Linked DNA regions of Diceros bicornis minor. The protein of the gene in region 1 interacts with the protein of each later gene in a biochemical or structural test. Links are inferred from orthologs where the notes say so. Each region holds a gene or a part of one and is shown on either strand. Other genes may lie near its edges.

Region 1 (15,444 bases):
GCAAGGAGAGATTTCTCAACACATTAATGAGCAAGTTAGCTAAGAAATACAGGGCTTCTCTGTTCCCGTACCAGAGACTTGTGATAGCCAGCTTCACACTCTCAAAGCCAAAATTAACACCATACAACGGGAGGCCCCAAATAAATTCAGATAAGACCTAAGCCAGGGAGGGACTCCGATTTACTAATGAAAAGGAGATCTCAAAGCCCTCTCTAGTCTCCACGCAGCTCCCTCCGCCCTCTCTTAACCACCTCTTTGACCCGCCACCTCCCTTTGGGGACCCCACCAGGTTGCCTGGGCCCAGCCACTCCTTGGCTCCTCCCTCAGGTAAAGCCAATCTCAAATTAAATCACAAAGAGAGGCAGCCAGTCTGCAATGATCTGTGTTTATTTAGTAAATGGGTTGATTGCCCTCATTTGTGGAGATGAAGAGTTAATTTCCCAATGCAAAGAGAGCAGATTTCTTGGAGGGCAGCCCCAGATAATTAAGAGGAAAAAACAAAATTCAAATACCTCCCACTCCGCCCCTTCCCACCTAGTTTTGGCCTTTCAGTGGCCTCTCTGCCAAGGTAGCCACAGGCCCAGCTTCAGTGAGGTTCTGACCCAGGGGAGGCAAGATTTGGTAAACAAAGGCTTAGGAATTCTTTAGGCCCTTTAAACTGACTTCTGGCAAATTCGAGATCGCAGAACAGTTTCTCTCTTCCCCCTCTTCTCGCTTTGAAAGGCAAATATTTTGAGGTTTGTGTTCTCTCCCATTCACAGAGTTTTTAATCAAGTGGAGTCAAACCACTTGGTCCACACCTTTATTGAAGAGCCTAGCTCTAGAGTGTCAAGCACTATTTTACAATAAGAGGGAGGAGGGAGGGAGAGGGAGCTGGAAAGGGGACTCAGCGGAAATGTGAAAGAGAAGAAAAGCGGTGGGCAAGTGGCCCTTAAGCACACACTCAGGGCATCGCGTGTGCCTTCTCTGCACACGACGGGCACGGACGGCGAGCTGCCGAGCCCCAGCTGTGCCAGTCATCAGGAAGTGGGGAGAGACTGGCTCGCTCTGTGGGTAACTTCCACAGAATGCACGAAAAAGCCCCTACTGAGGGAAGTCCCCGCCCAGGGGAACAACCCCCAAACAGACCCCGAGGCTCTCAGAGCTGGGCCAGGCCACAAAGCCCAGTTCCCTGGCTTTACAGATGAAGAACCAGGCCCAGAGAGGTTAACCGACTTGTCTGAGGCCAAGGGGTCAGTGGCTGGACCAAGACCCCAAGAATTCTTCTCATTTCCCTGGCGGTAACTGAAGCCTTGCCTGTGTTTGATCCTCAGGAAAGAGAAAATGCACCATATCCATCTCAAAACAAACTTTCATATACTTGGGAAGACAGTTAAAGGACTTCATATATTTTTCCAAGTGAAACAACAAAATATTTTCATCTTGTCATCTCATCAGCTATTTTTTACCCTGGCTGCATAGTAGCTGCACTGGGGGAGCTTTTAAGCAGATTCTCCAGGGGTGGGGCCCAGGAAGTAGTTTTTTTAAAGTAGATTTTTTTCAAAAAATTAAATCTCTTCCACCACCTCCACCCTCTCTGAGAATCACCTTTTTAACTTATTTGGGTTATTCCTCCTACTGGTTCCTTCATGCCACCTAATTTACTTCACGCATCCTAAGTTTACATGCAAGGTAAAAACAGTGGCAGTGCATTGCTGACCCGTCTAGCCTGTGGTCTATCATGATTCCCAGGTCTTTTGTTCCCAGCCAGTCTTTCGCCATCCTGTATTTCTGCAATTTATAGTTTTTTATTTTCACTGAACTTCACCTGACTGATAAATTGTACAATTTGATTCAACATATCAAACACCTACCTGTGAAAGGCAAAGGAGAAAAGTAAGACACAATTCCTACACTCAGGGGCCTTCCAGATGAACAGGTGGGTAAGCGAAGCACTAAAACACAGGAGCAAGTACCAGGACATCCCAGGAGCCGCGGAGCCTGCAAAGACAGCTGTGAAGAAGCTGACCTTGGATGAGCACCTACTCTGTGCAGGCACCATGAGCTCAATCAGGATTATGCTTGGCTCAGAGGCAAGAGAAAACCTGTCACGCTGCCTTAGACAGACAGGTTTATTTCGATCTCCTATGTGAGAAACCCAGGAGGAGCGCATCCCAGGCTGGTGTGGTGCGCCACAGCGTGAGGGACCCAGGCTGGTGTGGTGCGCCACAGCGTGAGGGACCCAGGCTGGTGTGGTGCGCCACAGCGTGAGGGACCCAGGCTCCTCCTAACTTCTTCTCCTCTCCCAAGGTCATCGCACCGTCCACAAGGGCCTCTGAACCAGCCATCAGGGGGAGGAAGGACGGTACACCTGCTCCCTTTAAGTTGCACACGACACTACTGCCGACATTCCACGGGCCAGAACTTAGCGGATGGACGTAAGGGAGGATTTTATATGGAGTCTTTATTCCAAGTGGCCATAAGTCCAGCTAAAGGCTGGGGACTCCATTACCATGGAAGAAGGGAGGAACAGATACTGGGGTACAACTAGCAGCTTCCACACCACGCTAAGGACTTCATATGCTTTACAGCATTTATTTTCCACAACTCAGGAGAAGAGGTCTTCTGGGTCTTTATTGCAACACTTTTGCAATTGTTCAGTCACTCGATTGAGTCAACTCAATGTCAACTGCAGTCCTAGGAGGTATCTTTTCAAATTCTTATCCAAGCCATTGAGCAAGACGAAGGTGGCTGCAAGACTGAGCCTCTTCAGTCAACCCCAAATGGATGCCTCTCCTGGGCTGGTGCTGATCCTCGGAGGTCAGCCTGCTACAGCTGTGGGCCTGTCCCTGGAGACAGGCAGAAGAGACCTGTGTTTTCACCCTTCTTCCAGGCCTGGCACTCTGGTTAGCGAGGTTCTCTCTAGTTGTGAGGAACACACAGGCAGTCAGGTGGCTTCATTAATGGGCAAGGTAGGATTCCAAGGGAAGGAGCTAGGAAATGCTCTTGTGTTCTGTCTTCTTGTCATCTCCTTTTGAACCAGGTTTTTCTCCTCTCCTTCCCGCTTCCCTCCCACCCTCCCTTCCTTCCTCCTTTGGCTCCACTCTGAAAGGATCTGCTCTCCTCTCTCCATCTACAGCTCCTGCTGCCACCATCTGATTGCTCTCTCTGCTCACCTCACTGCCTCATGGCTCTTGCTTCCTCCAAGCTTCTACTGCTTCCTGGTCTCTGCCTGTTCCCTTCTCACTGAATGTCTCTCTGTGTCTGCCAGTATATTTTACACTCAGGCTCCCCGAGTGAAAGGACTGATTGGGTGGCCACCCAACATCCAGTGGGTACACCTGTTGGACAGAGGTCTCACGCCAGACAACCTCATGGCTGGGTCAGATGCTTGCCTATTCCTGCTCAATAGTCTGAAGTGAGGGGTCACGTGGCACAAGGTACAAAGATGGCAACATTAGTCTGAGGAAATGCTGTGAATGAACTGTGGGAGCAGCAGTTACATTTTAGAGTAGCCACTGTGAACTTGTTGAGACCCATAAATAAGGGCCCAAACCCAGAATCACACCCTGCAGCCAGACATGTATCCAACCACCTCTCTCCCTCTCTCTCTTACACACACACACACACACACGCACCCCTCATACGCCTCATCCTCCCTTATGGTTCTCATTATTCCATCCTTCAGTTCAAAATGTAATCAAGTAGAGTGAGGACTTGATGCAAAACCCTATGAACAGCAGCAGAGTATTGTCTGATAGAGCGCTGGAAAGTGAGAGGACGGCACAAGAAAAGACCTGGCCAGGTTCCACTCTGCTATACACATGGGCGCTAGGAGTCAGAATCCACCCAAAAGCACGAACAACAAAAGACATTCTATAAGGCATCAGTGACACAGTATAATGCTTTGGATTACAAGTCTGGGTCAACAGTTCTCAAACCTGACAAATTCAAAAGAATCACCCAGTGAGGTTTCAAAAATTAAGTCCCCAAGTCCAACACCAGACATTCTGACTCAACACGTCTAAGGTGGGGCCCAGGCTCCTAAAATTTTTTTTTTTACTCCTCAGGTGATTCTGATGACCAACCAGATTTAGGATCCACTGCTGTAGCTCCCATCCTCACTCTTCTAGAAGGTTCCCTGGGGGCTTTCATTACCCCTGTGTGTCCTGTTCCTGCAGCTTCTCCTCCTAGGTCTCTGCTGACTGCCAGACACAATAGATAACTAATACAACCCTCCTCGACCAACAAGGATAATGGTCAAAGAGATTCAGTGACTGAATCTATCATACAAATCACCTCTGTAGGGTGGGGCCTGGCTTACCTAACAGGATTTCAGCATGGCCCTCCTCTCTTTCAATCTAGACATCTCTAACTTTCATAACACTTGAAAGTCCGCTTTAGGGATAAGAATGTTCCCATTTTTGGAATGATCCAACTCCCCAAACTAAAACGAAGTCAATGGCAACCAGGCAACTGGAAATTCCAAGTCCTCAACGTTATAAAGTCACAAACTGTCTCGTAAGAGAGGCCAGAAAGGGAAGTATATGCTCAAACTGCTCTTTCTGGTCCTGCATGAGTGATTCTTGCAGCTGGAGTTTCACTGCAACCACAGGATTGTGGCACCACGAAGCAGGCCATTTTCAAATCTGGCCTGACATCAGAATGTAATTCGACTAGATAAACCTGGGACTTGGCCAAAATAAGTAGCATTTAAATAACTGGTGCCAATGAATAGCATCACTTTTCTGCGGTACCATATGACTATGATGTGAAGAAACAAAAGCCTTTGTTATTTTAAAGGGCAGAGACAATTGGAAGATTTGCAGCAGACAGTTACAAAATTTTCCACCCTTGGCTCTCCAAAGAAGATACCAGTTAGTGGCTTTGGGAGTCGGGTGTGGAAGACGTTGCTTGGAAAAGAAAATTAGATTGATCCTGGACAGAATGTGAACCAATGTTACTACATTTATCATACAGCCTAAAACAGACTATTTACCCCCTACATTGTGAACTTACTTTTCTGATCTACTCCCTTTTATTACTTACCTCCTTGAAATCACAGCATTCTATATCAGGCCAGGCATGGAAAGCTACTGCACCCCTCTCACAAACAGCACATTCTTATTTTTCAGAATAATTTTGGAGTGGGCTTTTTAAAAATCATCTTAAAAAACAAAACACAAAAAATTGGCCTTTGCTTCTCTGCATTTTGCACTTGTCTGCCTGGGACAGAGCAAGAGGACTCCCATCTGTGATACTTGCCATCTGGGATGCATTTTCTGCATCTTATACGTAGATTGTTTCAAAAATATTTCATTCGTCCCTTGTATTTTTTAAGGGCTCTCTTTTTTTCTTCCTAAATAGTTATCCCTATTACCTAACGTCAGGGAGCTGTCTGGGGCTATAAGAGGAGTAGAAGCTCATCAACTGAACTGGTTTTCGTTGTATTTGAGACACAGCATTTTATCCTGTTGGTTTTCTTTTCTTTTCTTTTTTTTTTGATGACAGTGCTTGCTATTTCTCTCTCAATAAGCAAAGATGACTTAGATCAGTGGCCTGATGAATAAGCATGAAAATTTGATTTAGAAAAGGAGGATATCCTGAAGCTCATGGAGAGAAGAAAAGATTTCCAACCCCCCACCACACACACTTTAAATGACAAAGCAAAGCAGCAGCATTGTCATTAAGCAACGTCTTTCAAAGCAATATCAATGCTCTCTGGTGTTAGGCAAGAGGAATAATAACTTAGAAAAAGAGGAGCCCTTAAAAAAATACTAGGAAAGAATGAAACATTTCTAAAGCAAATATCACTGATCCTTCTAAGAAGAAGATTACCTTAAGGGCAGATACCCCAAAAGAAAAGAAAAAAAAATACGGTTCCAGGTGTGAGGAGGAAACTGATGCTTTGGAGGAAACAGACGAGGATTCCCGTTGAGGTCCGGATGGAGAATGCGAGCAGTCTGACACCCTACGTTGGCCCAAATGACTCAGCCCTCCAGACCCATTAACAGCAGTGGGAAAAGACAAAGAACCGTGAAGAGGAAGGAAAGATTCCCAGTAAACTTGAGTAATAGAAAACAAATAAGAGAAAAACAGAGGAAGCCAAAGTCTCCTATGGAAGGGAACCCAATTAATTGTCTTAGATTTCAGAATCGGTTTTTTCTTGCTGGACAAGAAGCTCACAGGGCAGCAGAGGCAGCAACTTCTGCAAACACGCAACCTGATCAGAAATCCCTCAGGGCTCCAGCGCCGGAAGGGCTCGGCCCGGAGTAACGTTTCTTAAAGCACAGAATTGCCGTGTGTGTGTGTGTGTGTGTGTGTGTGTGTGTGTGTGTGTGGTGTGTGTGTGTGTGTGAGAGAGAGAGAGAGAGACATTTTTCCTTTCTCCACGTGTCCCTCTCCTGCGCGGGGCTCCAGGGAGGGGCGCGTCCCCGGTAACTGCTGACCTCGCCCGGAGGGACCCGAGCGCCCTGCGCAGGACGAAGATGGGACCGGGAACAAAGAACGCTCGCCAACCAGGAAACGCTCCCCGAGAACAAGGATAACCTCTTTGTGTTTTGAAAACTCTTTAATTAGCAAATGCCCTGGTGTGTAATACGCATTAAAACTTTCCTACGCAGATTCCAAATAGAGGATCCCATCACCGCTTCCGCAGCGACCACATGCCGAGCGGCCACCCGCAGAGGCAGGGCGCACACGGCCGTCGACGACGCGCCTCACACCGCACCGCGTCCTGGGCACGGGGTCTGCGGTCACTTGACGAGCTTTCCCCAACCCGGTCTCAGCGTTCCCGCAGCCCCACTCAAGCCTCCCCAGGCCCCGAGGCCCCGGGCGGCTCGCCTGGGCCGGGGGTCCCCCGTGCCCTCCGGGGTCTGCGCCTCCTCCGCCGGCTCCGCCGCTGCCCCTCCACCACCGGGGGCGGGGGGTGGCCTCACGGGGGCGGGTGGGGTCTGGGGAGAGAACAGCGACCCGCGAGGCGCACGCCCTCCGGCCCGGCACCGAGCCCACATTCCGGGCCCGCCGCGCCCGGCGTTCTCAGGCCGGCGGGGCCCACGTGCCTCGGGGTCCCGTGCCCCGCGGCCGCGACGCCGCGCGCTCCCCGGCTCCTCCGCGCAGGAGCCCCCCGCGGGGCGCCCTCCCGGCAGGAACGTGTAGCTCTCGTCCCGGAAGACGAACACGTCTTTCGGGCAAATTCGCTTTCCGGCGCGTTGGCCCCCGGCTCCCCACCCCAGAGCGAATTCAGGGTAAAAGTTGTTCTCAACTTTCCCTCCCAGCCCCCCCTCAGGAATCCGCCCAGAGCGCTGCCGACACCGCCTCCCGGCCCCCCGCCGCCCCTTCCGACGCCCGCCCAATCGGGAGGCGGCCGCGCGGAAAACAAAGGCCGCCATTGGACCGCCGCGGAGCCGAGGGCCCGCCCCGGGGCGGCTGTGAATGGGGGAGGGCGGGGGGCGGGGCGGCCGGCGCGTCCGCGCCCGGCGCTTCTTCTGGCGAGCCGCGCGGCTCCGAGGCGTTACTCTGCGCTCCCTCCGGCCGGCGGCGGCGCCGGCACCCACGGGCCGGGGCTGCGCGGGGCTGAGGCCAGGCCCAGGCCGCGGGCACCGGGGCCTCGCAGCTTTGGACGCGGTGTAACTGGATTTCCAGAAAGCGCTCGCCGAGCTCTGGGCTCCCAGGCGCCGATCGGACTCCGAGCGAGAATCAGCCGCTTGGCTGAAACTTGGGGCCGAGCTCTCGGGGCTGAAGAAGGAGCGCGAGTGGCGAAGGAGGCGGCGGCGGCGCGCGGAGCCTCGAGGCGAGGAGGCGGAGCAGCCCCGCCGAGGCGGCGTCCTCGGCTCCAGGCGGCGGCGCGGGCTCTCGCTGCCGGGGGCGGACTCGGCGCGGGGGGCGCGCGTGAGTGCGCGCTGCGGCTCGGGAGACTCGCGAAAACTTTGAAGGGTAACCGGAGACGCTTGTTGCTCCTCGCCGCGGAAAGAGCCGCACCGTTACGTCGCGGCGGAAGACGGCGGCCCCTCGGCGCCCCCGGCCCAGGCAGACGAGGTCGGGCCCCGGCGGCCGCGCGAGTGCTGGGCGGAGAGGCCGCGGCGCCCCCGCGGCGCGAGCGCCCCAGCTGCAGCGCCCCCGGCTCCGCGCCGCCCACGGCCCGGCCCCGGCGCCGGGGAGACTCTCATGTGCCGGGCGCGCCGGCGCCTCCCCGGATCCAAGCCTCTCCCCGCTGCCTCGTCGCGCTCCTCGGGCTGAGAGCGTCGCTGCACCGCGGCCGGCGATGCGGGGCCCCGGCGCGGCCGCGTCGCGCCTGCCCCTGGGCCTGTGCACCCTGGTGCTCGTGCTGCTGGGCGCGCTGCCCGCGGGCGCCGGGGCGCAGCCGTACCACGGCGAGAAGGGCATCTCGGTGCCGGACCACGGCTTCTGCCAGCCCATCTCCATCCCACTGTGCACGGACATCGCCTACAACCAGACCATCCTGCCCAACCTGCTGGGCCACACGAACCAAGAGGACGCGGGCCTCGAGGTTCACCAGTTCTACCCGCTGGTGAAGGTGCAGTGTTCGCCAGAGCTGCGCTTCTTCCTGTGCTCCATGTACGCGCCCGTGTGCACCGTGCTCGATAAGGCCATCCCGCCATGCCGCTCTCTGTGCGAGCGGGCCCGCCAGGGCTGCGAGGCGCTCATGAATAAGTTCGGCTTCCAGTGGCCCGAGCGGCTGCGCTGCGAGAACTTCCCGGTGCACGGCGCCGGCGAGATCTGCGTGGGCCAGAACACGTCCGATGGCTCCGGGGGCCCGGGCGGCGGCCCCACCGCCTACCCCACCGCGCCCTACCTGCCCGACCTGCCCTTCACCGCGCTGCCCCCGGGGGCCGCCGACGGCAGGGGCCGCTCCGCCTTCCCCTTCTCGTGCCCCCGCCAGCTCAAGGTGCCACCGTACCTGGGCTACCGCTTCCTGGGCGAGCGCGACTGCGGCGCCCCGTGTGAGCCGGGCCGCGCCAACGGCCTCATGTACTTCAAGGAGGAGGAGAGGCGCTTCGCCCGCCTCTGGGTGGGCGTGTGGTCGGTGCTGTGTTGCGCCTCGACGCTCTTCACGGTGCTCACCTACCTAGTGGACATGCGGCGCTTCAGCTACCCCGAGCGGCCCATCATCTTTCTGTCGGGCTGCTACTTCATGGTGGCCGTGGCGCACGTGGCCGGCTTCCTGCTGGAGGACCGCGCCGTGTGCGTGGAGCGCTTCTCGGACGACGGCTACCGCACGGTGGCGCAGGGCACCAAGAAGGAGGGCTGCACCATCCTCTTCATGGTGCTCTACTTCTTCGGCATGGCCAGCTCCATCTGGTGGGTCATCCTGTCTCTCACCTGGTTTCTGGCGGCCGGCATGAAGTGGGGCCACGAAGCCATCGAGGCCAACTCGCAGTACTTCCACCTGGCCGCGTGGGCGGTGCCCGCCGTCAAGACCATCACCATCCTGGCCATGGGCCAGGTGGACGGAGACCTGCTCAGCGGGGTGTGCTACGTGGGCCTGTCCAGCGTGGACGCGCTGCGGGGCTTCGTGCTGGCGCCTCTGTTCGTCTACCTCTTCATCGGCACGTCCTTCCTGCTGGCCGGCTTCGTGTCGCTCTTCCGCATCCGCACCATCATGAAGCACGACGGCACCAAGACAGAGAAACTGGAGAAGCTCATGGTGCGCATCGGCGTCTTCAGCGTGCTCTACACCGTGCCGGCCACCATCGTGCTGGCCTGCTACTTCTACGAGCAGGCCTTCCGCGAACACTGGGAGCGCACCTGGCTCCTGCAGACGTGCAAGAGCTACGCGGTGCCCTGCCCGCCCGGCCACTTCCCGCCCATGAGCCCCGACTTCACCGTCTTCATGATCAAGTACTTGATGACCATGATCGTGGGCATCACCACCGGCTTCTGGATCTGGTCCGGCAAGACCCTGCAGTCGTGGCGCCGCTTCTACCACAGACTCAGCCACAGCAGCAAGGGGGAGACTGCGGTATGAGCCCCGGCCCCTCCCCCACCCCGACCTCCCCAGCCCTGGCGCGGGGCGAGGCGCGCCCGGGAAAACGGCGGGTGGGGGGCTCGTTTCTGTAACCTGCTCCCCCTCCAATGAGAAGTGACCTGGAAGATAGGGGGTCTGTGTCGACTGCGGGCGAGGGGTGGGTTTGCAAAGGAGGCCTGGGTGGAGAGACGCTTTGGGTGAAGAGACTTCTGGCAAAAAGACTTGCAGGATAATGATGATGATAATGGTAACGATGGTGTGAATCATGTACGGTACGGGCCGACCTGGGCCTCTCGAGAAGCTTGAGACCAGCAGACATTGCCGTGCGTTCTCCCGGCTCCGGGGCTGACCCGGGACTGCGAGGATTCCCCTGCTGCACGGCGAGTGGCCGGTCCGCACTCCCGTGAGGCCGGGGTGAAAGGTACAGCGCTGTCTCGTGGCCTCTTTGTCCGGAAGAGGGAGGACTCCCCGCGGCGGCCTTGTCAAGCGGTGGTCAAACCATAATCTCTTTTCACTGGGGCCAAACTGGAGCCCAGATGGGTTAATTTCCAGGGTCAGACATTGCAGTCTCCCCTCCCCGGCCCCTCCCGCCTGTTTTTCCTTCCGTTACTCCTTTCAAGTCTTGTAAAATAAGCATTTGGAAGTCTTGGGAGGCCTCCCTCCTAGAATCCTAATGTGAGGAGGCGGAAGAAATGAAGATAACATTTCCAGGTAAGGCAAAGGGAATGAGTAGTAGGTATGTCTGCTATTTTTTTATTTTCTGGGGAGGGCGGGAGGAAGAAAGAAGGGTGTTTTATTTGGTTTAATACCCTGAAAAGAAGTGACTTGTTGCTTTTCAAAACAGGAATGCATTTTTCCCCTTGTCTTTGTTGTAAGAGACAAAAGAGGAAACAAAAGTGTCTCCCTGTGGAAAGCAGAACTGTGAAGACAGCAACTTTTATAGACTAAGTGGCGCAAATCTGAGGTTTCCCTTTGGATGTTAATTTGGTTGAGAGAAACATTCCTTTTTAAGGAAGCGTGAAGGGCACTGTGCTTCCATACACCCCTTTCGGTCAGAGGTTCCGACTTGGCTAAAGGAAATGCAAGGGGTTTTGTTGTGTTTGTTTTAAATAAATTTAATTCAGAACACATGAACGCAGAACACAGGCTCTGTTAAAACGTCCAGGGAAATTTTGCTCTTTATTTTTTTTTCTTTCTATAAACCTGTATTTAGGTTTTCCCTCAATTTTTTTCCTCAAATTTGAATCCTTCAAGATAAAAGGAAAAGCATAATGCCTTCAACCTCATAATAAAGAAAAGTTAAATTTTTTAAAAAGTAAAGAACTATTTTGTCCTGTTTTAGTTCCATAAATCAGTTTATGAAACATCACGTGTATGCTGACCCTGTCTTTGTGTGGCTGTGTGGGGAGGTGACCTGCAGAAATGATAGTGAATGAAGAGGACAGTTTAAACCATGGGCCCCATTTTTTTTTTTTTTTGTGAGGAGATCAGCCCTGAGCTAACATCCGCCAATCCTCCTCTTTTTGGAAGACGGCCCTGGGCTAACATCGGTGCGCATCTTCCTCCTCTTTTTTTGCTGAGGAAGACGGCCCTGGGCTAACATCGGTGCCCATCTTCCTCCACTTTATATGGGACGCCGCCACAGCATGGCTTACCAAGCAGTACTTCGGTGCGCGCCCGGGATCCGAACCAGCGAACCCCGGGCCGCCGCAGCGGAGCGCGCGCACCTAACCGCTTGCGCCACCGGGCCGGCCCCACCATGGGCCCCATTTTTAAGGAAAGTCACTAAAAGAAGCTAAACTTCAAAGTAATTCTGGAGTTCTTTGAAATGTGCTGGATGACTTAAGTTTATTAATGTTAAATCATGTACTTTTGTTTCTATAATAGAACTCGGGTTCTTTTGCATAATAGTCTAAAGCTGAGCGGAGAGGCCTGGGAGCTAACCTTAACTCCACCCTTGACACCGCCCTCCAATCTTGCGACACTAGCCCATTTCTCAAAACAGTTTTTAAATGCTGTCTTAAACAGTTCTTAAATCATAGAGGGTACTGTCAGGAGTGCACGTTACTTTATAAATGTAATGTTCAGCTGAGTGGAGCTGCTTTTTAAATTAAACGTTGACCTTGTGTTTCTTAAACCTCCAAAACTGTCTCATTTGTCAGATTTTTAAAACTCCCGCGGCACAGTTTTTGGCATCTTTTGTGTTGTATCTCTTGCATGTGAAATTTGTAAAATAGAGACAAGTGCAGTATGTATATTTTGTAAATCTCCCATTTTTTGTAAGAAAATATATATTGTATTTATACATTTTTACTTTGGATTTTTGTTTTCTTTTGCCTTTAAAAGTCTACAAGGAAGCCCCACTTTATCACATGTACAGATCACAAATAAATTTTTTTTTTTAAATACAACGTGAATGTTTATTTAGTTTACGGTCCTTATATGTCATTAAGCCGAAGAGCAGAACTTTGTGTTATGGACAGAAGGTATGGAGGGACCCCATTCGAAGGAAGGTGTTATATATTATTGAGGTTGTTTATCCTTGCCTTTTAAAATACAGAGTGTAATGAATGCCTTGACTGTCCATTAATTTGTTTTCTGTTGTTGCTGCTCCCTGCATCCCTGCACAGCACCCCCCCACACACGCCCATAAGCCTTTTCACATCCAGCTTTGGATAACTTATTGAAGGTACAGAATAAGCATCTCTTTTAGAGAGGTGCTCTCTGATCCATGTTTTTACTACCCTTTGGAGATGAAATCCATATTTGAAAGACGACTAGAAGATATTTTTGGTGTGCTTGTGTGGTGATGTTTTCCTTGGGAAGAATTCAGTGAATTTTTATAAGTGATTGGTGTTTTTGAATTCTAATGCCCCTTATCCACATGGTTAATACTTAAATCCTTTGGGTCAGGTGGCTGGGAAAGTCAGTAGATGATTCCAGATAATAGCAGGGGTCTTGCATGTGGAGCCTTCTCAGCTGTGGGCTTCACTCCACCTTCTAGGTCAATTGAGCCAGAGGTCAAGTGATTCCCCGAGGCGGCAGAGGTGGCGGTGACTCAGCAGTTCCGGCAGGAATAGACTCCACGCTGACCCCAGGATGGCCTCAGAAGCCACCAAAGCTATTCTTTCCTCTTGCCGGAGAGGCTCACTTTGGAATCCGATCAGACTGAGAAGCCTTGCTATCCAGGCACTTTGATATCAAAGAGTCCCTCAGGGAAATGATAAAGGCGTTTTAAATACTTCCAATGCCAAGCTTCACTAGCTTTTTTTTTCCACGCGCCTCTCCTTTAATTCAGGTGCTGGCTTCCTGGCTTTTGCTAGCAGAGTCCCCCGTTCTGGGGCAGCCGTGGAGACCCAGCAGCAGACTAGATGCTGTTTCTCCTTCCCTGCTTCGCTCTAAGTTTCTGTACTTCTAAAGATCAACAGAAACAGTCCGGTTTTTGTTTTAATTAACAGGCTCACACTCATGGCTGATGTGTTTTACAAACACCTGGAATGAAAACCAGTGACAGACAGTCCTCCCCAGGAGGAGGGAGCCGCCGCTGCTGTCTGTGCAAAGCAGCTTTAGGGTCCTCCTGGGTTTTGAACATCACGATGGGTGTGAGGTCATCTTAACCTGTGAAGATCTGGGCATCAAGGAAGGGAAAAAAAGCGACTTCAAGTCTCTTAAGGTTTATCCAGTTTTTGCTCATAAAATGACACCTTTTAGGTTAAACCATGCCTCTTTTAACACCACACTAATACTGCCTGTTAAGAATGTTTGCTTTTAGAGTAGGTGGAAGGCTCCCAACGGGGTTTTTCGCTCACAAATTAACTGCTAAAGGCACTTAGACCCTTCTGTGGGAGAGCTGTGTCTGCTCCTATAAATGTGTCCCCTTCCTCTTGTCAGCGCAGCCTTGTCCTTCAGGGCTCTCAAAGGTTGAAGAGCGTTGGTCTTTAGTGAGGGAACAAAAACTGTGTATGAATAAATTACTACCTGCTTTTTTGTAAGCAAAGATAAAAGTTCAGTTTAATCCCTTTCACATTGTGGTGTGTCCTTATGAAGTTGATTCTTACCTAAGCATTTTAGAAGCTCAAGGATTTTTAAGGAGGTGCATCTTAGCAGAAAATATGTGAGAGAAAGTGTTTGTAAAAGGGCATGTGTAGAGTTTTAAGAAAAACATTGGCAGGAGCTTGGTGTTAATCCCTAGATAAGGAGCAGAAACACTTGTGAAAATTTTCTACAGGTTATAAAACAAAATTAGTCTACACAATAACCCCACACAACACCTAATCTTTTTAAGTAGGTATGTGAGAAATCTTGGCAAGAAATAAATGTCCTGTTGACAACATTTTACCATTAAAGAAAAAATAGAATTTTTTAAATGTGCCTCATAGAAAATAGTAATATTAAAATTCTCTGGGCAGAACTATAGAGTTGTAACAGCTGTAGGTTTGAGCCCTGTAATTATACTGGGAAATTCTCTTCTAACTCTCCCATCTTTAATTTCACTGGAAAGGCAGGTGGCTATTTATAGACGGTATATTTTTATATGTGCATATGTGGACGGTGAATAACAGTCTACAGGGCTCCAGGAAACCCTAGAAGGGACCCAAACCATTCCAAAGTGGACTTAATTCATAGATCTGTTCTCTTTTTCTCTTATTGCACCCTCAGTGCCATTAAACTGATTTCATAAAACTTGGTTCTTCAACTCCTACCTTCCAATTTGCAACATTTCTTCTATCTGAATCTGTATTCCTCATTTCACACACAAGTGAACTAGTAAAGGATACCATTACAATGTCAGGTCTTTGGTAAACACACACTGTGCCTCTTATTCTCTTTGGTTATAAAAAAAAGTAAACTTCAGTCACTTGGAATTTTCTCAATTAGTAGACGGTGGTGGAAAAAGGGAAGTTCGACCAAGATAACAGTAGTTTATTGTAGGTGATCCAGTTCAAGACGGCCTGATCAAGCACACACCCCATAAAAGGGACTGTGACAGGGACTGGGGGGTCACAGATAAAAGTAAGAAAAACACAGTCCACCTGAAATAACTGGGGATGCAGTTCAGGCTGAGGAGTGCATCTCCCAAGGAGGAATAAGCGACTAATTGTATTTCTAGACAGAACTTGGCAAGTGTCATTCTAGAGGCACAAATGCTATTTGGAATAATATTACTTGACATTTGGTGGCATTTACTGTTTTAAAAGCTGCTTTCACATTAATTCTTTGACTTTATCCTCTCATTATAACAACCCTGTAACATGGAATAATTCCTATTTTAAAGATGAAGAAGAGAAAGGCTCTGTGAGGTGAAGTGACACAGGAGGAGGAAGGAACCGACCTCACGCCTTCAGATTCTGAGTTCAGTGCACTTTCTATACTACACCCCACAGCCTCTCAGGGAAAGCACTGGGAGGTTCAGTGGGGGGAATGACCCATCGAATTGCAGAGGCGGGGTATCCAGCAAGAATGCATTTCCCAAGACC
Region 2 (14,810 bases), on another chromosome or scaffold:
AGCGACCTCCTCCTTGTGCCCGGAGCCCGAGTCCGGCTGGGCTGGGCTTCTCGGTCATCTGAAGACTTGGAGCCAGGGCTGGGTTCCAGGGTGAGACCCTGGCCCACCTGGGACTGGGGCCTGTGACCATAATTCAGTCCAAATGGGCGGTCTAAAAAATGCACTGTGGGTTTTTGTGGTCGTTTGGATTTTTTTTTTTTTTTTTTTGAGGTTTGCTTAACTAGAAAGAGTGGGTTTGGTACACAGTGTGTGCTCTGTTATTTCACATTTGTTTAGATGACTTTGTAAGCTTTCCCAGAGCTTCAAATTTGTGCCTTCCGCGGGGGAGTCTCCCATACCCCCCTTCCTCACCTCCCCTCTGGGTGGGGTGGGGGTGCTCCTGGGAGCACTGGAACCCCAGGTTTGATTTCAGGGACACCAGACTCAGCCTTTGATGGTGGGAAGAATGGTGGGGGTGGGGGGGCGGCGCCAGGCCAGAGGGGAGGGGGCTGCTCACCCAGCTGGCCCCCTTCGGCGCTCAAGGTCTCCATCCCTCATCTCCCTGGCTGGCTCCTCTGGATGGTAAAGATGACTGAGGAACAGCCCCTCTGGACCCCCCAGAGCTGGTGCTACCCTGATCTCCATTTCACAGAGAGGAAATGCAGCCCCCAGAGGAGAAGGGTGTGCCCGGGGCATCGCACTGCTAAGGGGAGGGGCTGGTGGTCTCACAGACTGGGCTCCTGGGGGGGGGGGGTCAGCCCCAGGATGCCTTTCTGCTGGCCCACAGTGGAGGAATGCTTCACGCTCCTCAGCAGGCAGGGAGAGGAGGACCCTGCCCAGCGTTGTGGCCAGGCTGCCCACGTGGGGGAATGCCCTGGGCCAGTGTCCCCCTCAGAGGTGGGGCCAGGGGATGCCCACCCCAGAATCCCAGCCCTGCAGCAGCCCCATGTGTCCCAGACACCCAAACAGCAGCTGGGGCCATGCCTTCAGGCCCTCCTGCCCCTCCAGAGGCTGGGCTACTGCTCCCCTCTCCAGGACCCAAGCCAGAGAGGGGGCCGAGTCTCTGCCCGCCCTCCCCTCACCGACCGGACAAGTGGCCGCAGCCGTACCCCTCCCCAGGCCAGCCAAGGGTGGGGGGAGGACAAGGGGCCGGGCAGGAGCCAGAGGGGGCGGTCTGCAGACTGTGGACACAGCCCAGGGCTCCGTGATGTCATGGCGGGTGCTAAGGAGGGGGAGGGGGCCGGGCTGTTTTTCTGGAGAGTTAGAGCCGGAGTGAGACAAAGCAGGCCGGCTGGCCGGGCAGCGCCATGGAGCTGCGGTCCCGAGTCCTACTCTGGAAACTTGTGCTTCTTCAGAGTGAGTGCAGGCGGGTGGGGGGCAGGAGGCGGAAGCGGGGAGTGGGTCTGAGTGAGTTCGCATCCTGGGCAAAGCTGCCTGTTTGAGCTCAAGCGGGAGGGGTGGCACACCCTCAGGAAGGGGATGGGTCTGGGGGCCTCAGAGGGAGCGGCTCACCACGATAAGGGCCCCCCAAGACCCAGGAGGGTGTGAGGTCTCACTTAAATCTCTGTCCCCCCAGAACTTCCCTCGCACAGACCCGGGGCCAGAGGGCTCAGAGGGCAGGGAGGCCGAGGTGGCGGGTGCCTCCCACGGGGGTCCCTCACGCACCTCGCTTCTCAGGGAGGCCCTTCAGGCCTGCGCTTCTCCTAGTTGTCAGGAGGGGAGTGGGTTGTGGGATTGAGGGAGGCCTGGGAACCATGGGGCTTGCAGGGTCTGTTCCAGCCTCCCTCAGCTCCCAGGCCCCCTGAGCCCGCCCTCAGGGCTGGCCTGCTGATCCTGCGCATTCCTCCCATCCCGGGCGCTCAGCCACATTTCTGGAGCAGAAACTTGGCTTGTGGGGTGGCGGATGGTGGGGTCACTCTCCACCTCCTCATACTTCAGACCTCTGCCCTTCAGGAAGGCCGAGGGGGCCCCAGCACCGAGCACTGAGTGTGGGACAGGGCTCCCAGCGGTCTGAGGACCCTCCAGGGCTTGTGTGGTGTGGCCGTCGGCAGGTGCACGTGCTATCCAGGATATGCATGTGCAGGGGCCCCCAGAACGGGCGTCAGCGCGTCAGGCTTTGGTGCTTTGGTGGTCTTGCTGCAGTGAAGGTGAGGGTGGCCCTTGGTGACAAGCACACACTCCAGAGCCGGCCTGTGCCGGGTCTAACCCTGGCCCCACCACTCACCCCCACAGGGCAGGCGCTGTCCATGCAGCACAGGCAGGTGGCCGTGAGGATTAAATGGGGGCCATGGGCACAGTGCCCACCCCTGTGGGGCCAAAGGAGACCCCCATCTGTGTCCTCCTGGCTTCTCTGCCTTTACCCACCTGTAAGCAGGTGTCATGAGCATCCACCTCAGCCAGGGCTATAGAAGAGACCCAGGCAGCCAAGTGGGGTGCCCAGATGCAAAGGCTCAGGTCGTCCCCTCCCCAGTATGACTCGCTCTTCCTCACCTTCCAGGCTTTGCTGTCCTTCTGTCCTCAGGTTAGTGACCACCCTGCCCCTGAAACCGCGACAGTTCCCTCCCTTCTCGCCAGCCCCACCCAGTACCTGTTCCCTTGGGTCCCACCCCTCCCTCAACGGACTCCCCCTCCCCACCAGGGCTGTCTGGGCCCCAGACGGCCGGCAGCTCCGTAGTGTCCGAGTCAGCCGTGAGCTGGGCGGCCGGCGCCCGGGCCATGCTGCGCTGCCAGAGCCCGCGCATGGTGTGGACCCAGGACCGGCTGCACGACCGCCAGCGCGTGATCCACTGGGACCTCAGCGACGGCCCGGCCGGCGGCTCGCCGCGCCGACTCGTGGACATGTACTCGGCGGGCGAGCAGCGCGTGTACGAGACGCGCGACCGCGACCGCCTCCTGCTGCCACCCTCCGCCTTCCACGACGGCAACTTCTCGCTGCTCATCCGCGGTACGGGGCCTCGGAGCCGCAGGGGGCGCCTTGGGGGATCCGGGGCGCGCGGGGCTCGGGCCGCGGCGGAGCTCACGGCTGGGTTTTCTCCTGGGTGCGTAGCGGTGGAGGAGACAGACGAGGGCCTGTACACCTGTAACCTGCACCACCACTACTGCCACCTCTACGAAAGCCTGGCCGTCCGCCTCGAGGTCACCGACAACCGTGAGTGTGCCCGCCCCCGCAGGCCCCCGACCCGGTCCTCACGCACCCCTGTCCCCCTGGACGCCCCCTCCCGGCCCCTCCCTCTCCTCTCCCCTCCTTGGTCCGGGATCCCTGACCGCCTTGCGCCCCCAGCCCGGGCCGCTGGCGCGCACTGGGACGGCGAGAAGGAGGTGCTGGTGGCGGAGCGCGGCGCGCCCGCGCTGCTGACGTGCGTGAACCGCGCGCACGTGTGGACCGACCGGCACCTGGAGGAGGCGCAGCAGGTGGTGCACTGGGACCGGCAGCCGCCTGGGGTGCCGCACGACCGCGCAGACCGCCTGCTCGACCTGTACGCGTCGGGAGAGCGCCGCGCCTACGGGCCGCCCTTCCTGCGCGACCGCGTGGCGGTGGCGTCGGACGCCTTTGCGCGCGGCGACTTCTCGCTGCGCATCGACCCGCTGGAGCCGGCCGACGAGGGCACGTACTCCTGCCACCTGCACCACCACTACTGTGGCCTGCACGAGCGCCGCGTCTTCCACCTGAGGGTGACCGAGCCCGCCGCAGAGCCGCCCCCGCGGGACTCGCCGGGCAACGGCTCCAGCCACAGCGGCGCCCCCAGGCCAGGTGCAGGAGGCCGCCCTGGGCGCCCGGGGAACGTCTTGGAGGCTGAGAACGGCAGGAGACACCCAGGCCCCTCCCACTCCTGTCCAGAATAAGGGACCTGGGTGTTAGCCAAGGGAAGGCCCCATGGACTGCGGCCGCCTGTCCCTTCCCGAGACCCACGCAGCGCAGCCGGGGCGGCCTGGGTCGGGGCGCACCCACCGCGCGGTCGGTCTGCAGCGCGCACCCTGACTTCGCCCCCGCCCGGCCCCTGCAGATCCCACGCTGGCGCGCGGCCGCAGCGTCATCAACGTCATCGTCCCCGAGGGCCGGGCCCACTTCTTCCAGCAGCTGGGCTATGTGCTGGCCACTCTGCTGCTCTTCATCTTGCTGCTGATCACTGTCATCTTGGCCACCCGTCAGCGCCGCCGCGGAGGTGAGCCGGGGCTCGGGGCGCGGGGGGAGCCAGGGGAAGCCGGAACCGGGAAGCCTGTCCCGACTAGAGGCGGGACTTTTCGTGCGGTGGCCTGAGCAGAGGGGGAGCTTGGTGCGGGCGCTGGGAGGGTTCCTCGCGGCTGGGGGAGCTGGGGAGGGGGCAACACTGTCCCCAACACGAGTCTCCCTCCCCAGGCTACGAATACTCGGTCAAGAAGTCGGGGAAGTCAAAGGGGTGAGTGACCCCTCCCGGATCTCCTGGAGACCAGGCCCCGCCCCACTGGCCACGCTAACCTGCCACCACCCTCCCCCATCCAGGAAGGACGTGAACATGGTGGAGTTTGCTGTGGCCACAGGAGACCAGGTTCTTTACAGGAGTGAGGACATCCAACTAGGTGAGGGGGCCCTGGACACCAAGGCAGAGACTGTGGCTCCCAGGCCTGAGCTGGGGGAGGCACATCTCAGGGAGGCCCCTCACCCTGCCTCTCCCTACCTAGATTACAAAAACAACATCCTGAAGGAGAGGGCTGGGCTGGCCCACGGCCCTGTGCCCGCCAAGTACGTGGACTTGGACAAAGGTAAGTGGCTGGGAGGGAGACCTCCTCTGCCCATCTCACAGCCAGGCCCATACCCCACCCCACCCACTCGCAGAATCCCGAAGGCACCAGCCAGCCCCACAGGCAGCAGTCCCCTGTCACCTCAGGGCTCCAGAAGTCCCTGGGCAGTCCTGCTGGATGTCTCCCTGCATTTCCTCCTGTGGCGGAGGAGCAGAGGGCAGACGCCCACCTGTTCCCTTGGCTTCCAGAGTTCAGGAAGGAGTACTGCAAATAAGGTGATCCTGGGCTCCTGGCTGGGCCAGCAGCTCTGCCATCTCCTGTCTGTCTGTCTTGGAGGACGTCCTCCTGATCCTCATGCAGCTCACCCGGCCCCCCTTCCAGCGGCTGGTCCCGCTGTCCTGGAACTTGGCCTGGACTGGTGCAGAGTGAGGCTGCCTCCAGACCCCTCTCCCAGGAGCACCCTAACCCTCACGAGCAGCAGTGGGCTCCTTGGGACTCTGCAGGCTGTGGCTGCGCCCCTTCAGCAGCCCTGGGCATGTGCCCACTGGCTCCCATGCTCGCTGGTGTCCTGGTGTACCCCCCACACTGCACAGCAAGACCCCTCTGATGTTCACCAAGCCCTCAGGCTCTCCTGGCCTCTGTCTTGGAGGGGGCTCAGCTGGGACTCGGAGCTGTGGTCAGCCTCAGGGTTGGCACTCCCACCCCTTCCTTGGGGGAGCTGCCTGCTGGCTCCCCGTGCGCTACCCAGCCAGGCTGCCGTGGGGACCTGAGGACTGCGCACTCCAGGCCCCACTGATGCCCCTGTGCGCTGCATCAGGCCACCTGGGGCTGCCATGGGTCCCTTCTCTGCTTCCCTCTGCTCCAGCCTTGTTTCCGACCAGCTGCCTTGACAGTCACTGGGCTCCATGTGACTTTAGACCCTGACCCCCCTCCCACGGCCCCTCGCTGGGCTGGAGTCTGGCTCTGAGGCCTCATTTGGCTTCTGTTTTGGCTAAAGACAGGGGCGGGGGTGAAGAGGGTTCTAGAGTGGCCTGTGCTGCCACTCCCGACACCCTACGTTTGCTCCTCCTGGGAAACTGCCGCCATTGCAATAAAGACCACATTTGATTTTTAGACCTGGCCCATGTATGCCTCTGCAGCACCCCCTGCATCTCCTGGGGGCAGAGTCTGGGCCTCAGGAACTCCCAAGTGCTTTCCTTCATCTGAAGTCCTCCTGTCATCGCCCATTCCTTTTGAGTGGAAGTTCTGGGTCCAGGTATCCTGGGAAAGGGGACATTGGAGCCAATTCTACAGCACTTGGTTGTGAAGCAGTTTCAGACTCCTGAGGGTTTATTTGGATATGGGAGAGGGAGCATGTTGGTGGATATGAGGACAGAGAGGGGCACTGTGTTATGTTAGTTCAGTCCTCTGAGAAACAGACGCTGAGATGGTTAGCCAGCAGGATGAAGGGGGAGGAGGCGGGAGAGGCAGGAAGCCTTCAGACGGAGTGGGCATGACACTGGTGAAGGGAGAGGGTGCTGCGGTAGGAAGAAACCTGTGTGTCTCCCCAGCCCTGACCCCATCCTTTGGAGCCCTCCCAGGACAGCAGGGACAGGAAAGAATACGCAGGTTATGATGGCTGAGTGAGGAGGCACAAGCCCCCCGCACGCCCTCAGCATCTGAGCTCCCCCTCTGGGGAGGTGGAGACCCTGGACTCATTTTGACTGAAGGTGCAGCTGCAATACAGCCACACACAGGAGGTCGTCACAAGGTTTATTACTTACAGATCCCAGAAACGGGGTGCAACAAGCCAGGGACGCCTCCGTCCCAGGTCATGAACCAACATGAGACAGAGCAGGATGGCACCTGTTATGTAGAAGGTGTTGGGGGCGAAGGTCACTAATTTTTTGCAGGCTCAACTCTGAGTGGAAAAGCGGAGGGGAACTTGTGGTGGGAATCCTAAGCTCAGGTCCTTATCTTAATTTCCAGACTCGGTGTGAGCAGGTTGTCATACTGTGAAATGCTGAGGCAGTGACTCACAATGGCTGTTTTCTCATCACACACCCACACGGACCCCACAGTGGCAAAGGCAGGGAGGGAGACTGGGCCGGGGAGCTGTGGCTTGCTTGAGAGTGTGCCTCCTTCCCAGCCCAGTGACCCCTGGCCCAACAGTGGCTGCACTGCCACTGGATGAGGCCCCTCCTGTAAGGGCTCAGGCGCTGGCCTGCCACTCAGCCCTCCTTGCAGGGCCCCAGCCGGACTACATCAGCATCAGCACTTGACTGTTCTCTGGTCTTTGGTTTACTGGTCTCTCTCCTACGACTTGGGCTGAGGGTCAGGTTGGAGAGGGAGGCTGGGGGAGAGGCTGGAGTGCAGCTGGGACGTCGGACCCCCTGCATCTGTGTGACCGTCAGCCATTTGTGTCTGGTGTAGGGGATGCTGGTCCCCTGGTGGGTTCTCAGGGCAGGGACTGTCTTCCTCCTTCCCTGGACACCCAGTGGAGAGCCACGGATTCTTCCTCTAAGGCCATCCTGCCTGGCTCCTCAGCTTACCTCTGGGGAAAGCGAGACCCAAGGGGAGAAGGCCCAGGCTTTGCTGAGTGGGTGCCAACCTCACAGAGCCCTGCCTGCCCTCCCCATCCGAGCCTAGGGGTATGGAGGTCAGGACCCCTGGCCTGGGTTGACCTGGGGGTGGTCCCCAGCCTGGGCTTAGGGACTTAGGTCCAAGCTCTGGCTCCTCCAGTCACTAATGGACTGATGGGGTCTTTTCCTGTGTTGGCCCACTGCCCACGGATGGTCAGGACCAAGCAGATGGCAGAGTCCTAGGCTCCAACCAGCTTCAAGGAGGGTCCTGGGTTCAGGTCACAGGGGCGTCAGATACTGCCCACTCCCATCACTCTAACGCCCCATCCTAGGGTCTCTCCTCTCTTCACTCTCGCCAGCGTGGGACTCTCTCTAGTGGCCTTGAGTGTTCCTCCAGGGGTGGAGGGAGAGAGAGCCGCTCCCCACAGCGGGAGCAGCATGTGACTGGACCCTTCACAGCCCGAGGGGCGCTGCTCCGAGTCTCCCTTGCCCCGCGGAAGACTCTAGGCTGGTTCAGTGGACAGCGGCCGGAATCCCTTCACCTGCTGCCAGAAGCACCGTGCCTGGGCACCTCTGTGCACACGTGTGTGCGCACAGCTGCTCGCGCTGACCCTCGCTGTCGTCTGGAGCTTCACACACACGTGCTCACACTTGCACTCCCGCGTCCACGCGAGCACTTGCCTTCACTTGGCTCGGAGTTTCTCGGAGCCTCAGTGGCACCCGGCAGAGGGCGCGCGAGCTTGGAGCTAGCGCGGGGGCGCAAAGCGACCGAGTATCCTCAGCTTCCCGCGGGGACCCCCGCAGCCCGCTGAAGTGACCAGGGCGCCTCCGGACTGTGAGCACCCACGGACCTACGAGCCCTCGCGAGGGGGCGGAGGACTGGAACCTGGCCGAGCGACTCTCCTGGGGGCTGCAGCCGATCCACAGGGCTCCCAGCGGGCGCGTGGCGTGGCCTGGGGCGGGGTCTCCCTTCTGACAGTTGGGGGCGCGACGTGCAGGTGGAGGGCGAAGCTTCCTGAGGGTCCCCACGCACCTCTTGCCCCGGGGTCGCGCCCCTGTCCGCCCACCGGCTGAGAGCCCAGGCCCAGCGCGTCTTGTGCGCGCCCCTGCGGCCCGGCCGGAGGGGTCCCGGCGGGGGGCGGGAGGCCGAGCGCGGGGTCCCGAGAGTGGGTCGGGGGGCGCGCGCGGGCGCGCCCCGCCCCCGCCCGCCCGCGCGTGCGCAGCCCCGCCCGCCGCGCGCCGCGGGGGCCCGGTGACGTCAGGCCCCGCCGCGCTCTCGGGCGCCCCCCGGCGGGCCGCGCGCTCAGCCCGGGGCCAGGCGGTCCCTTTAACTGCGCGGCCCGAGGGGGCGGCGGCGGCGGCGGCGGCGGCGGGGCGCACGGACGCGGCCCGGCCTCGCGCGCCCTCCCTGTCTGCGTCCCCGGCCGGAGCGGATGGGCGGCCGCGGGCCGCGGGGCAGCAGCCGGGGCGCCAGCGGAGCCGGGGCGGCGGGGCGGACAGGGCCGGGGCGGCCGGGCGGGGGCGCCGGGGGCCTGGTCGCGGCCGGGCCAGGAGCGGCTGGCGGGCGGGGCGCAGGCCGGCGGCGGGGAGGCGCCCGCGTCCGAGCCCCGGGCCGGGCCTGAGCACCGCGCCATGGCGGAGACCAAGATCATCTACCACATGGACGAGGAGGAGACGCCGTACCTGGTCAAGCTGCCCGTGGCGCCCGAGCGCGTCACGCTGGCCGACTTCAAGAACGTGCTCAGCAACCGGCCCGTGCACGCCTACAAATTCTTCTTCAAGTCCATGGACCAGGACTTCGGGTCAGTGGGCCGTGGGGCCTGTGCGCGGGCATGGGTCGGCACCTGTCTGCGCCCGGGCAGGGCCCTGGGGATCCTGGGTGCCTCCGCGCCCCGGTGTGGTGTGTTTCCCACCTGTCTGTGCCCTGAGCTGCCTGCCCAGGAGCCTGAGAGCTCTGGACGGTGGGCAGGGTAGCGTCCTGGCTTCTCCACCCACCCTGGGCCCAGTCTTGTGTGCCTGAGTGTATGTGAGCTGTGGGTCAAGGTCTGTTGCCCAGGCCAGGGCGACCCCGAAGTCCCACCGTGGCACCTGTCAGACTCAGGGTCCCGCTGCCCTCCTTCTGTGGCAAGCAGGTGCTCAAGGCTGGCCTGGAGGGCTTGTGATTAAGGGGGCCTGCGGTCAGAGGAGTGTCGGGGTGTCCAGGGGAAAGGGTGGGGGCAGGGTCCCCTAGGAAGCCTGGGGGAAATCTGTCTGCTGGGGTCTGCAGAGGTTTCCAGAGGCTCAAGATGGCCTATCCCTGGTCCCCTCCACCAGAGTGCTGAGGACAGGGCAGAGGTCAAGGGTCACTGGGGACTGTGAGACATCATTCCACCCACCCTTGCCCTGGGGTTGCTGGCCGTTGGGCCTGTGTCCCTGCTGAGCCTCACAGCACTGGAATTCTTGGGAACAGCCCAGTCCATCTGCTGGCTCAGGGCAGCCTCTGGTTCAGTGTCCCCGTGTCCAGCCTTAGTGGTGGCCATCTCGGCTGAGGGGACTTCCCACTTGCACTGGGCTGGACCTGTGGGACGGTGAGCAGGAGGCTGGCTGTCTGCTCGAGGCCTGACCCGGCACAGCCTCAGGTAACCTGAGTCCCTGGCTCAGCAATGCTGGGGGGGGATACCCAGAGGCCTTGTGGGCCAAGCAGGTGTGTCTGGCCACCCTCAGGCAGCCGCGTCCTTGTGTGTGGCTGCGTCTTGGGACTTTGACATTGAGGCGTTTCCTGGATTCTGTAGTTTGCACGGGCCCTGGGCAGCCCCAGGTCAGGTCAAGCTAGGGCCATTCTGCAGCTCTCAGGGGGACCTGAGAGTCTCTTGGGCCCCACCACCACCAGGGAGAGGCATAGAGAGGAGGATGTGTCCTTGGCAGCCTCAGAAGGCTGGATGTCCCCAGCCCTGCCTGGCTGGCCTTCCTGCTGGCTCAGCTTAGGAGCCGCCATGGGGCCAGGCTTCTCGGGTGGGTATTGTAGTCTGGTCTGGCCGCGTCGCCTGCCCTCGCTGGGTGGTCTCAGTCTCAACTCCTCTGTCTTCACGCTGCTTTGGCTGTGAGCATCGGGTATGTGAAAGGGTGTTTTTGTTTTTAACTTAGTTTATTATATTAACAAAAATTACCAAAGTCACACATGCTCTCTGTCACAAACTCAAGCCAGCAGGGCATATGTGGCAAGGCATCTGCCTGGCCCCACAGGTTGCTGCCCTCCAACCATGCTGTGGGTGCGTCCTGAGGGGCCTGCCACCCGCTCCTGTGTCTGATGGCCACTGCGGGCTGCCCATGAGCTGCAGAAACCCCCACCCCACGTGCACTCCCAGCAGAAGCCGGGCTTTTTGGGGGATTTGTAGGATCCATGCGTGCCTTGGCCTAGGAGGTGAGTGGGCAGGCAAATCTGGGTGTTGAAGCAGGAGTAGGAGTTCCTTAGGTTGTCTGGGCAGGCTTGGGAATGGCTGAGATGGGGGAGGGAACAGGACTGGGCAGAGGGCAGCTTCAGAGGCTGAGGCTGGGCCGGGAAAGGGGGATGGATTGAGGTGACGCTGGAAGGTGCAGTGGGCAGACAGAACAGGGAGGCTCACCTTACTTCCTCCCTGGACCTCTGGGCTGGTGGCCTGGTGGCCTCAGGGTCCTGGGAGAGGACCCAGCTGTCTCATTTCTCCCTCCCCTGAGACCTATGTGGAGAGATCCAAGCTCTATTTATTGTATAGAATCATTTATTCAGTGGAATAAATTCCTTCTCGAAGGGGCTGATCAGTCACTCAACGTTAGTGTGAACGTGAGCTTGAGGCTCACCCTGGCTACTGAGGGATGTAGCTGGAAGTTGGGGGAAGGGAGAGCAGGTCCTGGCAGGGCGGAGGCAGTGGTCTCCCCCATGAGAGGGGTGGCCTCAGCTTGGGGGCCTCCTGCCCCAACCCCCCATCCCACTGTGGGCTGGGCCCTGAGTTCCCCGAGCCTCTGTTTCTGGCCACAGCTGGCGCCAGAGTAACAGAAGGGGGAGTCTGAGGTGTGGCTGTGGCCCACAGGCGTCTTTGGCTGAATGTAGGGGTTCCTACCTTCACCTCCCACTTTTCCCCATATGGGTCACGGCTGTTCTGACCCAGCAAAGCAGGGGAGGTCTCTGGGCCTGTGGTGGTTTGGTGGGAGCAGTGTGGGAGGGCCTGGCCCGGCCTCTGGGCTGTGAGGCAGAGGTTGAGGGGGTTTGGCCTGCAGTCTCCTCACTGCCAGGACCACCTCGTTGCTTCCAGGCCTGGCTGGACTTGGCGCTAAGCTTGTCTGCCTGGTGGTGGCCCCAGGCTGCCCATCTCTGGGCCAGGAGCTCCGGTCTCTGGGGCCACCTGCCTGTGGGCCCTGGGTGGCGTGGTGTGGGGGCTGCGGGGCAGGGGTGGGCACTTGGCCTGGCCTCAACTGCCTGGGTGAGCTCCCGCTCTGCCCTCCGCAGGTGCCATCTGGGGCCAGTGCCCCTGCCGTGTTGGGAGAGTCCAGACAGGCCACGCCCTGGAGCTTGTGGCACAACCTGGAGGACGGGGACCCCCCTCACCCTGGAGTCTGCGGAGCCTGAGCCTAGGGGGGTGGGGGGGGCTCAGTACCGCCTATGGACGCGCTGGGCGAGGAGTGGCCAGCTCTGGGGTCAGGAGGCAGTGAGGTGACGGGTGAAGGCTCAGTGGGAGCTGAGGACCCCTGACTTGTGGGGGCACGCAGGGGGCTCTGAGGGCTCGGGGACAGCTCTTCCTCCCCTGTCGTGCGCCAGCTCACTCTGCCAACTTCCTGCTCCATGGCGAGAGAACGGGTGGGGGGATCCTGTGCCTCTGGGGACATAGTTGGAGCCATTGCACTGGGAAGGGCTGGCCTGTGGCATGCTGTGGCGGGTCCTCCTTGGCCCGTGGCTGTGCTCGCTCTAAGGGCCCTGCTCTGAGCAGATTCCTCGTCTGGGCGAGTCCGCGGGGGCGGCGGGCGGAGCTGGGCAGCCACAAGTTCGAGGTTAACCCGGATCTTGCTAGGAATTCTGAGGTTGGGGGCACGATGCCAACGGGGGTGCCCCCAAGGCCGGTGGAAACTGCTCCTGAGGTCTGATCTCCCACCCAGCGAGGCCTGACCCAGGAGGGGGCCCCTAGGGTTGTTTGGAGGCGTTTCCATGCTTGGCAGAGGCTTCTCCCCCACCCCGACTTTGTCCCTACCCTGGGGCTCCTGGGAGATTGTGCTGACCGCCGGTGGACAGCACCACACCTCGAGGAGAGCACCCATGCCCTTTGTCCTGGGAGCTTTGGCACCTGCCCCTTCCCTCCCTGCTGTCCTGGCCAGGCTGCGCTGGGGCCTGTGGTGCTCCCCGGTGCCCCGACCCCCAGGTGGAAGGCAGGCTGCTCTGTCGTGCAGGTTGGAGAACTTGGGTTCCTCAAGCTGGGGAGGGCCAGGGAAGCAGGGCCTCTGAGCCCAAGGAGGGACGTCCATGCAGGGTGAGGGATACAGAGGCCTTGGGCAGCCCTGGGTGGTGGGTCATCGAGGCCCTGGCTGGGTGGGTAGTGGGGGCTCTGGGTGCTCCCAGGCCCCCTTGCCTGGGGCATCTGCCTTTGGGAGAGCCAGGTGGGCCCTGCAGTGTGGGGCCGCGGGTGCTCTTCTGCCTCCCCATGGGTGAGTCAGAAAGGGCTGGGGCTTGGGTGTGGCGGAGGAGGCTGTTGGCCAGGCTACCTGGGCTGTGAGGTGGGAACCACCAGGTCCTTCCCTGGTCTCTGTTGCTGCAGCCACTCAGAGATGGTGCTCTCAGTCTGCTGGGCCCCTGGGAGGGCTTGCTGCAGCCCTGTCTCTTGGCTGCAGCTGGCAGAGCCCCAGGTGTCTCTGGACCACCCCAGGTCTTCCTGTGGTGACAACCTCTCATGTGGCCTCCTTACCCAAGTCCTGGGCCAAGTCATAGCCTCCCCTGGAAGCTCAGCTCTGCAGGGCTGTGGTGCATGAATAGGGGCAGCAGACATGGGTCTGCTCCTCGCTGGAAAGAGGGGGGTCCTGAGAAATGACCCTTTCTGCCCTTTGGGAGCGTCCACCTCATTGGTGCGTGTATGGCTGGCCCTGGGAGGTGTCTGGGGGGCCGTCACAGGACCCGGGCTGGGTGCCCCCTCCCTCCCAGGCTGGCCCTGTCTTCTCTCTCCACTCTGCCCCCAGGTCTGGGGTCCCCTCCTGGTGGATGGCGTGGACCGGGGCCTTGCTCTCTGGGTGGGAGTGTGGGGTGCTAGCTCTGTGGAGGGCCTCCTGCCATGTGCTGCTGCCCGGGACTGGCCGAATCAAGGCATCCGGGCCCAGCAGGCCATGAGGCTGCTTCTTGCCTGGTCTGTCGGCTCCCGTTTCTCCACTGGGCCCAAGGCCTGGGCGTGGAAATCACGCTGTGCTAGGCAGGGCTGAGCTCCAGGAGGCGGGCTGTCGGGGCTGCTCCTGCTGCAGTGCCCGCCCTGCTCCCTGGGCCTCCAGGAGGCCAGGGTGTGGGGTGTGTCTGGGCCACAGCCACTGCCTGCCCTGCCCCACTGCCTCTCCCCTGTGAGCCATGCTGGCTGCTGCTCTCCTCACCTCTTTGAGCCTGACACCTAGACCCCCCATCTCAGGCTCATCATTGCCTTGGCTCTCTGTGTCCTGCCTTCCCTACCGCCCAAGCCCACCTGACTGGGGGCAGCATGAAGACACAGGCCAGGGGACTGGTTTCTGGGCAGTGGGTATGGCCCATGGAGCTCGCTGAACTTGGGGGGCTAAGACTTCTCAGTAGGCCCAGCTGGCTTTGTGCCCTTCCAGGTCTTGAGTTGGGCTGGTGCTGCAAGTGGGGATCTGCTTGTCTCCCTGGCTGAGCAGACGGCCCTGGACGGTGGTGGCCTGCCATCGGAGTGTGTGTGTGTGTGTGTGTGTGTGTGTGTGTGTGTGTGTGTGTGGGTCTGCATGCCGTGCCGTCTTGACCTACCTGTGTCTGTGGGGGTCTGACCGCCCTCACATCTGTGCTGAGGCCTGCTGTGGACAAGGCCCTGTTTTGGGCCCAGGGGGATGCAGAGAGTGAGCCAGACAGAGCCCCGCCCTCACAGACCCACACTCCGTGGGGCACACAGACAAGTAGATGTTATAGAATGCTACAGGCAGTGACCCCCCCAGTGGCGGAGGGTCAGGGGTCTGGACCCCCTTGGACCTGGCTCCTGGGAAGGGTCCCCAGGAAGAGAATGTGCTGGGCAGGGGCATCCACACAGACTGATGTCTGGGCATGTGACACGTGCCCTGGGCAAGGGTGGGGAGTCTTACCTCCAGAGCCCACTGGTGGTAGCTGGCCCCGGTTCGGGTGGTCTCATGGCCGTGTCTGCCCACAGGGTGGTGAAGGAGGAGATTTCTGATGATAACGCCAAGCTGCCCTGCTTCAATGGCCGCGTGGTCTCCTGGGTGAGTCTGTGGGACGTTGGCAGAGGGTGCTCAGCCAGAGTGGGGGTGGCCCCTGTGTTGCAAGATGGGAGCTGGGCGTGGGCGAGCGGGTGTGGGGTGGGAAGAGGCTGGTCACCTGTGCCTGGGCACCCT

What was found.
Region 2: the proteins of FZD7 (region 1) and DVL1 form a complex in vitro, tested with the Homo sapiens proteins (2 studies listed by BioGRID and IntAct, with this or other methods). The link is inferred for Diceros bicornis minor from reciprocal best matches to the Homo sapiens genes FZD7 and DVL1.

The regions. Positions count from the first base shown.
Region 1 is NC_080749.1:79,842,519-79,857,962, forward strand, and holds FZD7 (frizzled-7), read left to right. Parts: upstream 1-7,569; 5' UTR 7,570-8,242; coding exon 8,243-9,967; 3' UTR 9,968-11,430; downstream 11,431-15,444. UniProt on the Homo sapiens protein: Receptor for Wnt proteins.
Region 2 is NC_080752.1:22,309,249-22,324,058, reverse strand, and holds the start of DVL1 (segment polarity protein dishevelled homolog DVL-1), read left to right. Parts: upstream 1-8,804; 5' UTR 8,805-8,891; coding exon 8,892-9,061; intron 9,062-14,608; coding exon 14,609-14,678; intron 14,679-14,810. Other genes in the region: MXRA8 (matrix remodeling-associated protein 8), read left to right, coding at 2,051-2,126, 2,477-2,500, 2,618-2,923, 3,026-3,127, 3,260-3,730, 3,984-4,142, 4,337-4,376, 4,460-4,536 and 2 more. UniProt on the Homo sapiens protein: Participates in Wnt signaling by binding to the cytoplasmic C-terminus of frizzled family members and transducing the Wnt signal to down-stream effectors. Plays a role both in canonical and non-canonical Wnt signaling.